2 linked regions of the Caenorhabditis elegans genome follow. The protein of the gene in region 1 purifies or fractionates together with the protein of each later gene. This does not show direct contact. Each region holds a gene or a part of one and is shown in the gene's direction. Other genes may lie near its edges.

Region 1 (6,442 bases):
GTGGAGGCTATTGATGCAGCTGCTCTGGCGGATTCTTTTGGACTGGTTTCAGTGCCAAGGGTCAGGTTTTTGAATAAGAAGGCCAAAAAAAGCGGCGAAAAATTGATGGAGAAGGTACTTTTTTTTTGAAAAATTGCCATTTTTTTGCAAAAAATGAAAAAATAAGGTAAAAAAATAAGAAAAACCGCGCGCCGCACGGTTGCAAAATTACGCTCCGCCTCTTTTTCTGTGCGGCGCTGCTGATTTTTGCAAAATTTACGAGACCCGGCCGACCACGCCCATAAAACCATGCGGAAAATTCAAATTTTGCATACTCCGCACGGTTTCGGGAACAAAAATCGTGGCCACGCACGCCCATTTTTCCGTGCGGCACGAAAAAATGGGCGTGGTCTTGGTTTTCTTTTCACCAGTTCTCCTATCGGTGGTGCCTCGAATTTTGTGCCCAAAACCGTACGGGGGTAGCAAATTTTGGTTTTTTTCCGCACGGTTTTATGGGCGTGGCCAATCTCCCAGCAGCGTCGTATAGAAAAAGAGGCGGAGCGTAATTTCGCAGCCCTGCGGCACGGTTTTTCACCTTTTTTGATTTTTTTTTTTCGATAAATTTTCGTTTTTTCCGAATGAAAATGTTGTCCAATTGAATTCTTATAAGATTTTTTAAAGAATTAAATTGGATAATATTTTCATTTGGAAAAATCGAAATTTTTTTGAAAAAAAAGGAAAAAAAAACCGTGCCACAGTCTTGCAAAATTACGCTCCGCCTCTTTTTCTGTGCGAAGATGTTGGGGAGATTGACCACGCCTATAAAACCGAGCCGAAAATTATAATTTTGCAACCCGCACGTTTCTATGGGTGTGGTCAATCTCCCTAGCAGTGTCACACAGAAAAAGAGGCGGAGCCTAATTTTGCAACCGTGTGACACTGTTTTTTTTCCCGATATAAACCAAGTAAAATCGAAACTTTATTGAGTAAAATCCTCGAAAAAAACCGTGCCGCAGGGCTGCGAAATTACGCTCCGCCTCTTTTTCTATACGACGCTGCTGGGAGATTGGCCACGCCCATAAAACCGTGCGGAAAAAAACCAAAATTTGCTACCCCCGCACGGTTTTGGGCACAAAATTCGAGGCACCACCGATAGGAGAACTGGTGAAAAGAAAACCAAGACCACGCCCATTTTTTCGTGCCGCACGGAAAAATGGGCGTGCGTGGCCACGATTTTTGTTCCCGAAACCGTGCGGAGTATGCAAAATTTGAATTTTCCGCATGGTTTTATGGGCGTGGTCGGGTCTCGTAAATTTTGCAAAAATCAGCAGCGCCGCACAGAAAAAAAGGCGGAGCGTAATTTTGCAACCGTGCGGCGCGGTTTTTCTTATTTTTTTACCTTATTTTTTTCATTTTTTGCAATAAAATTTTCAATTTTAACATTTTGCAGGAAGTAAAAGAAGAAGAAGAAGAAGCTTCCCTAGTTGGAAAATTCGCAATTGATGAGGACGATGAGGATATATTCACAGTGAAAAAGCCTACAGGAGAGCCTGAGCAGATCAAGGAAGAAGAAGCCGCTGAAAAGATCTCAAATATCACCATTTCCAAGACGAAACCGCTCAAAAAAGCAGTGACAAAAGTGTCGGCGGCGAAGAAAATCCTCAACAAAAAGCTTAAAGTTAACACGAAAAAGACATTTGGAGCAGAAGATGATGAGCTCGAAGAGCTCGAAGAAGGCCCCTCAACTATCACCTCCTATGGTTTGGATATTGAAAAAGCCCGGCAGGAGATCAAAAGTGGCGATAAGGAGGATCGGAAAAGGTTCAAGCTGCTCCGCGAGCAACGGAGACAGGAGAAGCTTGCGAAGAAGAATCGGAGAGCTGAGGAGGAAGAAGCTGTGGAGTATGATGAGGATGGAAGTGAGGATGAGCCGGATATCTCGTGGCTCCCGGATCCGGATGCGGTTAGAAGGAAGTATGAGGAGGAGCCGGATGAGGTGGAAGATTTGGAGCAACAGGCTCTTGCGGCTCTTGGGAGGAAATAATTTAAATTTTATTGTTTTTTCGGTTTTTTTAGATTGTTTTTGAGTTGTTACTTGTTATTCATTCTTTTTTTTGAGTTTCTTGAGTTTTTCTTCAGTTTTCCAAAGAAAATGTTGAATTTATTTGATTTTTTCCTCGTTTTTTGTTACTTTTGGTGTTATCATGCACATTTTTATATCTTTTTTAAAATTTTAAAATTGTTCAAAATGTTTCAGGTCAAAAATCAGAAAAAAAAACCATTTTTAAAAATTGAAAAGAAAAATTGCGAAAATTAAGACGCTTTTTTGACTTATGCTTCGAGAAAATTGAATTTAACGCACGAGTAATGTACTTTTTTTTGCGAAATTAAAAGAAAATTCACTTTTGTGGTATCAGAATTTGATTCAAAATTAATTTTAAACCCAAAAATTGGTATTTTTTCGGGCAAAAATCTTAAAATTCAGCAAAAAATAGCGAAATTTAAGCCATTTTTTAAGTTTAAAGTTTACAAAAATTGGTTTTTTTTCAGCATCTATCGAATTAAGACAAAGAAAATTGCAAAATAACAAAATTTCACGTTTTTTTGAAAAAAAGAAACTTCTCGATTTTCACAAATCTCCAATTTTTCTTCTCGAATTTCAATCAAAAATTTGCAAATTGAGAATTTTTAAAGGTTTTTTGAAACCAATTCTGGAAAAAAATTGCCGGAATTGAAAATTTCCGGCAAATTCGGCAGTGTGCCAGATAAGAAAGTTTCTGGCAAATTCGGCAATTTCCCGGAATTCAAAACTTCCGGCAAATTTGATCTTCAAAAGAAACTTTTTTCTTCAATTTTCTCTCAATATTCACAGTTTTTTTCAGAATTTTCCCTCAAAAAAAATTGTTTTTTTTCCAGAAATGGCTCAACCATACCTCCCCGCAGAGAAATTTCTCTCCAGAAAACAAGAGACAATTCTTTTGGACGAAGATGTCATTTATTGGAAACGAATGCAACAACTCACCGTATTCCAGGAGCCAGCCGTCGTCAGCTCCGTCAGAATTTCACCGAAAAAGCCGTATCACGTGGCAACGACTAGCAGTGTCCGTCTAACACTCTACGATACAGTAGTCTGTGAACCATTGAACCTATTTAGTAGATTCAAAAAAGGAGTATGCTCTATTGATTTTAGACATGATGGACGGCTTTTGGGTGAGCAAATTAGCTGGAAAAATGGAGAAAAATCGCGAAAATTCTAGAAAAAGCGTTTTTCAGTGAAAAATTCCAAAAAAAATTTGAGTTCGAAAATTATAAAAATTTTGACATTTTTCAAAAAAAAATTCACAGGGCAAAACCCGAAAAAAAAGACAAATTTGAGATTTTTTAAAACACCGATTCTAGAAAACAATAATTTATATTGCAAATTTTTTTTTTCGACTTCTCACCTTTTTAAACTTTAAATGTCCAAAAAACATTTTTCTTACGAAAAATTTCAGAAAAAATTTTATCATCGATTTTCTAGCGTTTTTCCACTAAAAAATTGAAAAAATCCAAATTTCAATAAAAAATTCCTCTTTAAAAATGCTTAAAATTTGAGGAAAATCCCGATTTTCAATGCAAATTTCAATAATTTTGCTAGTTTTTGAATTAAAAAAATTTATTCACATATAAAAAATCTGGCAAAACCCACAAAAAACCTTTGAAAAATGACAAATTCGGGATTTTTTGAAACCAAATTTTGAGAAAAACTATTTTAGAAAAATTGCAAGAATTGGAAAAAAAATATAATTTTATGAAAAATATTCAGAGAAATATCAAGAAAAAAATTTAATTTACATATTTTTTGACACACAATTTTCAAAAAAGAAGTAAAAACCAACCAAAACGCCACTAATTTTTGATAAAAATTCGGAAATTTTTAGAATCCGATTTAAAAAATATATACTGAAAAAATAAAGTTTTCTCTCAAATTTTCGAAAATATTCGGATCGAAAGCCGACAATTTTTTTACATTTAATTAAATGCCGAAAAAAACGCTTTCTGAGAATGCGTATTGCACAACATATTTTACGCGCAAAATAGGGTCTCGTAGCGAAAACTACAGTAATCCTTTAAAGGAGGACTAACGGTTCGGACGATTTTGAACGTATAGACCCGAAATGAGCTCAAATGAACGAATTTCTTAATGAAATTTCTCAAAAAATTTTCTAAAATTTTTATGGCGGTTCAAAATTTCGAAAAAATTACACTGATTTTAGCTAAAATCTCGAATTTTGCCTATTTTTTGGTGTCACATTTGTCCGAAGTTGACTTTTTCGGAATTATCATCCTTTATTGCATATATTGGTAGTTTATCTCATTTAATTTCGTCGATTAAAGTAAATTTAAAGCCGATAGGTAACCAAAAATCATCAAAATTGGTTACCTATCGGCTTTAAATATACTTTAATCGACGAAATTAAATGAGATAAACTACCAATATATGCAATAAAGGATGATAATTTCAAAAAAAATGAACGAACTTCGGACAGATGTAGCACAGAAAAATGGGCAAAATTGGAGATTTTAGCAAAAATCAGTCAAATTTTTTTCCAATTTTTTGAACCGCCATAAAAAATTTTTGAAAAAATGTTGAGCAGTTTCATTACGAAATTCATTCATTTGAGCTCATTTCGGGCCTATACGTTCAAAATCGTCCGAACCGTTAGTCCCCTCCTTTAATTGGAAAATTTCCAAATATAAATCTAATTTTCCAGCAATCGGAGGTGACGAGGGAAAAGTTCGCATCTTTGACGTGGAAAAAACGACGGGCTCGAGTAAAGTTGCTCTTCGTGTAATGCAAGCTTCTCAGTCAACTGTGAAAAGTGTTCATTTCTCTCCACGTGGTGATACTGTCTTCTCAATGGCCGATGACGGAAAAATCAAGCAATATCGAGTGGCAGACACGGCTTACGGAGTAAATGCCGTTCCAATAATTGAAATTCAAGCACATGAAGATGCGATTAGATGTGGAGCAGTTTCATCAATTAATGATCATATTGTACTGACTGGTGGTTATGATCATAAAGTTCGGCTATGGGATATTAGAAGTAAAGAGAAATCATTGGAACTCGATTGCGAGCATCCTGTTGAATCGGTGCTCTTTTTGCCTGGAGAGCAGCTTATTGCCACTGCTGCAGGTCCTATTGTTAAGTGAGTAGTTGGAAGCTGAAAAAGTGCAAAAATTCAGTGAAAACTTGAGCAAAAATGCTTGAAAACGTCAAAAACACGAGCAAAAAAAATTTTTTTTTGAAGATTTTCCTTCAAAAACTGCCGTTTTCAGGCCATATATGCAAATTTGCCGATTTGCCGGCATTGAACATTTTCGGCAATTTGGCAATTTGTCGGGATTGAAAATTTCTGGTGAATTCAGCAATTTGCCGGAATCGAAAATTTCTGGCAAATTTGGCGATTTGCCGGGATTGAATGTTTCCGGCAATTTGGCGAATTTGTCGGCAAAACGGCAATTGCCAGAATTGTTAAATTTCGGCAAGTTCGACAACTTGCCAGAATTAGAAATTTCCGGCAATTTGGCGAATTTGCCGGAATGGAAAATTTCCTGCAAATTCGAAAATTTGCCTGAATTTTAAAATTTCCGGCAAAAAAATTATTAAAAAATCCGGTAGTGTAACAAATTGCTGGATCGGAAAATTTTCGGCAATTTCGTTCGACAACATGCCGGAATTGAAAGTTTCTGGCAAATTGAGCAAAAAAAATTCCTGCAAATTCGGCAAACCTGCAATTTGCCGGAATTAATATTTTTCGGCAAATCGGTAACTTGCCGGTATTGAAAATTTCCGGCAAATTAGGCAGTTTGCCGGAATTTAAAGTTTCCGACAAATACGGCAACTTGCCGGAATTTAAAAATTTCGGAAACTTTGGCTACCGGCAATTTCCCGGAATGGAAAATTTCCGGCAAATTTGACGAATCGGCAACTTGCCGGAATTAAAAGCTTCTGGCAAATTGAGCAAAAAAATTTCCTGCAAATTCGGCAATCTGCCGGAATTGAAATTTAAAAATTTCCAGCAAAAAAAAATTGAAAAAAATTCGGCAAACTTGGCAATTTGCCGGAAATGAGAACTTCCGGAAAATTCTACAATTTGCCGAAATTTAAAATTTGGGCAAATTCCGCAATTTGCCGGAATGGAAAATTTCTGGCAAGTTCGGCAACTTGCCGGTATTGAAAATTTTCGGCAAATTTGAAAAATTGGCAATTGCCGAGAATTTTCGGCAAAATCAGCAACTTGCCGGAATTTAAAATTTCCGGCAAAAAAAAAGTTTTTAAAAAACCCGGCAAATTCGGAAAACCTGCAGTTTTCCGGAATTGAAAATTTCCGGCAAATCGGCAATTTGCCAGAATTAAAAATTTCCGGCAAGTTCGCCAATTGACCGGAATTGAAATTTAAAAATTTCTGGCAAAAAAAA
Region 2 (4,932 bases), on another chromosome or scaffold:
CAATTTAAAGCTCCACTCACTCTCTCCACCTGCATCTCCTTATTTCTCTGTTCGGCTTTGAGTTCAGCAGTCGACAAATTGTAAAAATCATCTGCCAACTTTGGTGCTTTCGGTTTTTGCCCCTCTTTTAGCTTGAAGATCTCTAGATTTCTAGCAACCTTTATAGGCACAGCCTGCCCATCCTTCAAAGCTTCCAGAGCCTCCACCAAATGAACATCTGATGGTTTTGTGAACACAAGGAACTTGTCTTCTCCTTCAGATTTCTCAGTAAATCCAACAGCTTCAAGGAATGCACGTCCTCCAACTACTGATGCAACTCGTTCTTGGAATGCCTTATTTCCCAAACGAATTGATTTGTATTTATCCTCTCCTGGGTGTTCCAAAATGTTTTGACAATACTTGCAGATTGTTTCGATGGCAGTCTGAAATTTAGAAGATTGTTTGTTTTTCTACCAAAACAACGAATTTCGTACAGTTTAGGTGAAACGACCGATTCGCAGATTTACAAAAATCCGTGTTGATTTTTTCTTTCTGTGCGACGCTGATTTTTGCGAAATTTGCGGATAGATAGTTTAATTTCAACGGTAATGTGACAAAAATGTCACAAAAACTATGATGGCGGTTCAAAATTTTGAGAAAAAAAAAACGGGCAAATTTTAGCGAAACTCTTCAATTTGCCGAAATATTCCGTTAACAAAGTAACTTTTTTAGCCTATTGTTAGCTAAAAATGATCAAATTGGCTAAATAACGAAATAACGTTATTATAACATGTGAGAAACTATTACAATAGATTAAAAAACATTTTCCGACCGCTGCAACACACAAAAGTTGACAAAATTGGAGATTTTAGCCAGAATGAGTTCATTTTTTTTCGATATTTTGAAATTCTGAGCATACACAAACCTCCTTGGGATGTTTCTTATTAAGTGAATAGAGCATCAAAACTGCGGCAATCACTTTATCGTTTTCATCATCCGCCTCGCTGATCTGATCAGAAAGGAAATTTTTGATATCTTCAAGAAGATCTGCTTTCGAGCGAATATGATGCTCACCGAGCAACTCGGAAGTGTAGAGAACACGTGATATTGCGGATGAATGCTCGAGGTGTTGCTCACGGTCGGGTTGCTGCAGTGATGAAGTCCCAGAAATGTTGAGATCTTCAACCTGACGTCTCTCTTCTTCCAGCTCTCGTTTTGCAATCATTTGAATTCTTCGTTTTCCAGCATTTTGTTGAGGTTCATTCTTCTGCATCCGTTTGAAAGCAGCCTGAGCAGCAATATCAGCGGCCGCGACACGATCAATTTGGCCTCCCTGGGCGGCTCCAGCGTGGGCAGAAGGCTGCGAAGATGACTCGCCGGATGACAAACGAACACCTTCACCGCTCTTTTTGAAGTGATTCTGGACTCGCTTTTTGTTGAGGAATTTCTTGAAACTATTCATTCTTCTTTCTCTGAAATAAATTGGAATGGTTATCAGTGCAGAACTTGTTAAATATCTTACTATTTTTTTCGTTGCTCTTATTTCTCGCTTTCTCAATGTTCTCTCTTATGATAAACTCCTGAATGATTGGTGAATATCGATTCCACGCAATGATAGTGCCAACAGAGAAGATGAAAAGTAGAATAGAAAGAAAGAGTCCGAGAGCTACCTGAAATTTTCAAATTTTGGCCATTTTAGACAGAAACAAGAACAATAATTCACGTTAAAATTTCGAAAATCTCAAAAACATGTTCTCTAACGCACTTGTTTTTTATCCAACGAATAATTATCACAGAAGATAATCAAAGCACGATAAACGTTTTCTACTCCGAATGCTTCTGAGGAATCTGGAAGCGCGTCGGAGCTCTGATAAGCAACTGAATTTGTGCTCAACGGAGTCTGCTCAGTTGTCGGCTCGGCGACCAGAGGCTCTCCCATGCAAGAATAGCTGGAATTGTAGTTCTTTTTCAGAGAGATTTGCGGAAATTAATGATTGCGAAATAGGACAGAAGGCGATGACGACATTTGTGATATTGCACGGTGATAAACATATATTTTGGGTTGTATACAAACTTCAAACTTCATTTCAGAAAATTTGAAAAAAAGCTCATCTCGAAAACGCTATAAAAAACTTGGAGTTTTTCTATTGGAGAAAACTAAACTGGGGAAAGCTTTCGGACAGAAAAATATTATCTGCTGTATTTTTCATGATGTCGTTAATTTTGTGACTTAATAAACTACAAAAAAATGTAGGTAAAACACTTTTGCGTGAAAAGTTTGTGATTGTTTTCCCAAAATACGTTTTTGCGGTTAAATGTTCGTTTTGAGATGTTTATCTTACAATTCTTTTATATTTTGGACAATAATTATATTCTATGAAGTAATCTTTGATTCTGAATAACTTTTTTCCGAAAACAATTCGTTAAAACAACAAAATTTTAGAGAGAAAAATAAAAAATAAGCAAAATAAAAAATAAAAATAGCGAGTGTCGTAAATTGTGTCGCCAAGTCCGCAGTTACGTAACCTCGCGCCGCGCTCTTGCGATAGCAAACCCCGCCCACTTTTCTGTGCACTCCACATTTTCGTCGATTTTTCATTGAAATTTTTCTTCTGTTATTTTGTTTATTTTTGTCGATTGACGACATAATTTTAATCTCAAGCGCTGATAAAATTATTATTTCCAATTTTTAGAAATCACTTTTCATCAAAATACTCACGAAATCCAAGCAAACTGTTTATTTTGGGATAGTATACTCATTCTTCTTAATTTTTTGTTAAATTCCATTGAAATCTGACATTACCTTATGCATATTTATGTTCTTGTTTTTTCTACAATTTTTGCAGTCCTCTTTGCTTCTGTATTTCTCGTAACTTCAACTTTCCAAATTATTTCGTAATATTTTCAGCAATGCCGAAGAATAAGGGAAAGGGAGGAAAGAATCGCAGAAGAGGAAAGAATGAGAACGACTTCATGAAGCGCGAGCTCGACCTCAAGGAGGAGGGACAAGGTAGATTTTATAACTTCTTTCCCGAAAAACAAAAGCATTAATTCCAGAATATGGACAAGTCTCAAAAATGCTTGGTAACGGTCGTGTTCAAGTGTTCTGTTTTGATGGAAAGCAGCGTGTCTGCCATATTCGTGGAAAGTTGAGGAAGAAGGTTTGGATCAACGTGGGAGATATCATTCTCGTCGGTCTCCGAGATTATCAAGACGACAAGGGAGATGTTATTCTGAAGTACACCCCAGATGAAGCTCGCCGTTTGAAGAACGAGGGACTTATCCCAGAAAACGCCAAGCTCAATGAGAACGATGAACAAGACGAGGGAGAGGTTGAGTTCTGTAAGTTTATTTTTGCTGAAAATTAATGAAGTTCAATTTTTTTTCAGTGGATCACGTCGGAGACGAGGGAGAGGCCGGAGAAGCAAAGTCTGACTCAGATTCATCAGACAGTGATTCGGAGAAGTCTGACGAAGAGGCAGGATCGGATAAGGAAGAAGAATCGGACGATGATTCTGAAGAGGAATCAGACGAAGATTCAGATGATTCGGACAATATTCGGGAAGAGGACTTGGCAGCTGGTCGTGGATTTAAAGAGGACACTCGTCGCGGCGGAAATCGTGGTGGCAAGAACAAGTACGGAAAGAGACGCTAAATTGATTAAATTATTGGTTTTTAATTGTTTCCCCCGGTTTCTGTTCTTTCTCCCCCTAAAAATCCATTGTTTCTCTTTCGATCCTTTTCAGACATTATCTTCCCATCTTCTCTGTCTCCCGAAATTCCGTTACTTGAATGCTACAAAGTGAAATAATTCGATTGTGGTGTCCGATGATCAACACAACCTCAAGGTTTCGGTCCATCGGACACCACTTGATGAAACAACTCATTTATTGCAAATTATCCCGTATTCCACTATTTTCCTTTCATTTATATTGTTTTCTGATAAACTTTTCTTGTTATGGGTTTAAAGCAGCACACAACTCTCGACCTTCAAACCGAAAAGCAGGTGAAACATTTGCATCAAAATGTCACAACTCGCGGCCACGTGTATTCATATAGTAAAAATTATTTATTTCAGTTATTTTAAGCTGAATTTGAATGAAATGATTGACAGAGTGCTTCTTTATAACTTATCAACTTCTGCATTTCCCAGCTATGATAATGCGACTAGAATTGATTTATATTTCTTTCTTATAGCTGTTGAGCAAGTTTTAGCTTTGAAAATCCCGTAATATTACCGTCAAATTCCAGAAAGTTTGTCCATCCATCAATAATCATTAATATTGTAATTTCATCAATTGGGATTTTTACAACATCATTCCATTTATTCGTTTTATCTCGAAATTCAATGTTAAAATCGTCCGTAATCTTGATAATGATAGGAATCGCTATTTGTGATATATTAGTGATGTTTGTCTCTATTATTTATAACTATCTTTATTTGATTTTGGAATTTAATGTGAAACCCTGGTAAAGTACATTTATTCAAAAGCTTAGTTCCACAGTACTACTACAGTAACCCAACGTAGTAAAAGATCTATGTGGTTAAATCGTAGTTAAAGAGATCACGTAGTAAACAGTACTTGACTTTTGTAACCCGATGTTAAATCAACTCATCTTTCCACTTCCAGTGAACCACCTGCACCACTTTCATTCTTTTATATGTACTGGATCAATGTAGTAATTAATGATTTGTTCCGTCGAACATCCACGTGGCTCAGCGTAGTTATGGCCACAATCAGACTGATCGTCTTGAAGTTTTCAACGAGAAGAGCATTTCGAAAAGTTAATTTTCCCAAATTCGGATTCACTTTAGTTATTGGAACGTTGTTATCAAGCATTCCATTAACTGTAATATATTATTTCCGATACGATATCGTTAAAATTGGAGACTGGAAGCCTATGAATAAGTAATCCAGATTTAACAACCTTTGCCTAATTAAAAATACACTT

The links. The genes of interacting proteins can lie anywhere in the genome.
Region 2: the proteins of Y23H5B.5 (region 1) and eif-1.A fractionate together in Caenorhabditis elegans (co-fractionation; one large-scale study listed by BioGRID). This does not show direct contact.

The regions. Positions count from the first base shown.
Region 1 is NC_003279.8:2,495,239-2,501,680, forward strand, and holds the start of Y23H5B.5 (U3 small nucleolar RNA-associated protein 15 homolog), read left to right. Parts: upstream 1-2,895; 5' UTR 2,896-2,897; coding exon 2,898-3,189; intron 3,190-4,733; coding exon 4,734-5,169; intron 5,170-6,442. Other genes in the region: ddx-10 (ATP-dependent RNA helicase), read left to right, coding at 1-114, 1,430-2,023.
Region 2 is NC_003282.8:4,808,047-4,812,978, forward strand, and holds eif-1.A (Eukaryotic translation initiation factor 4C), read left to right. Parts: upstream 1-2,887; 5' UTR 2,888-2,889; coding exon 2,890-2,989; intron 2,990-3,036; coding exon 3,037-3,321; intron 3,322-3,368; coding exon 3,369-3,634; 3' UTR 3,635-3,937; downstream 3,938-4,932. Other genes in the region: ubxn-6 (UBX domain-containing protein 6), read right to left, coding at 21-422, 905-1,441; H06H21.37 (uncharacterized protein), read right to left, coding at 1,438-1,451, 1,502-1,649, 1,745-1,918; srw-95 (G-protein coupled receptors family 1 profile domain-containing protein), read left to right, coding at 4,083-4,183, 4,231-4,449, 4,611-4,889.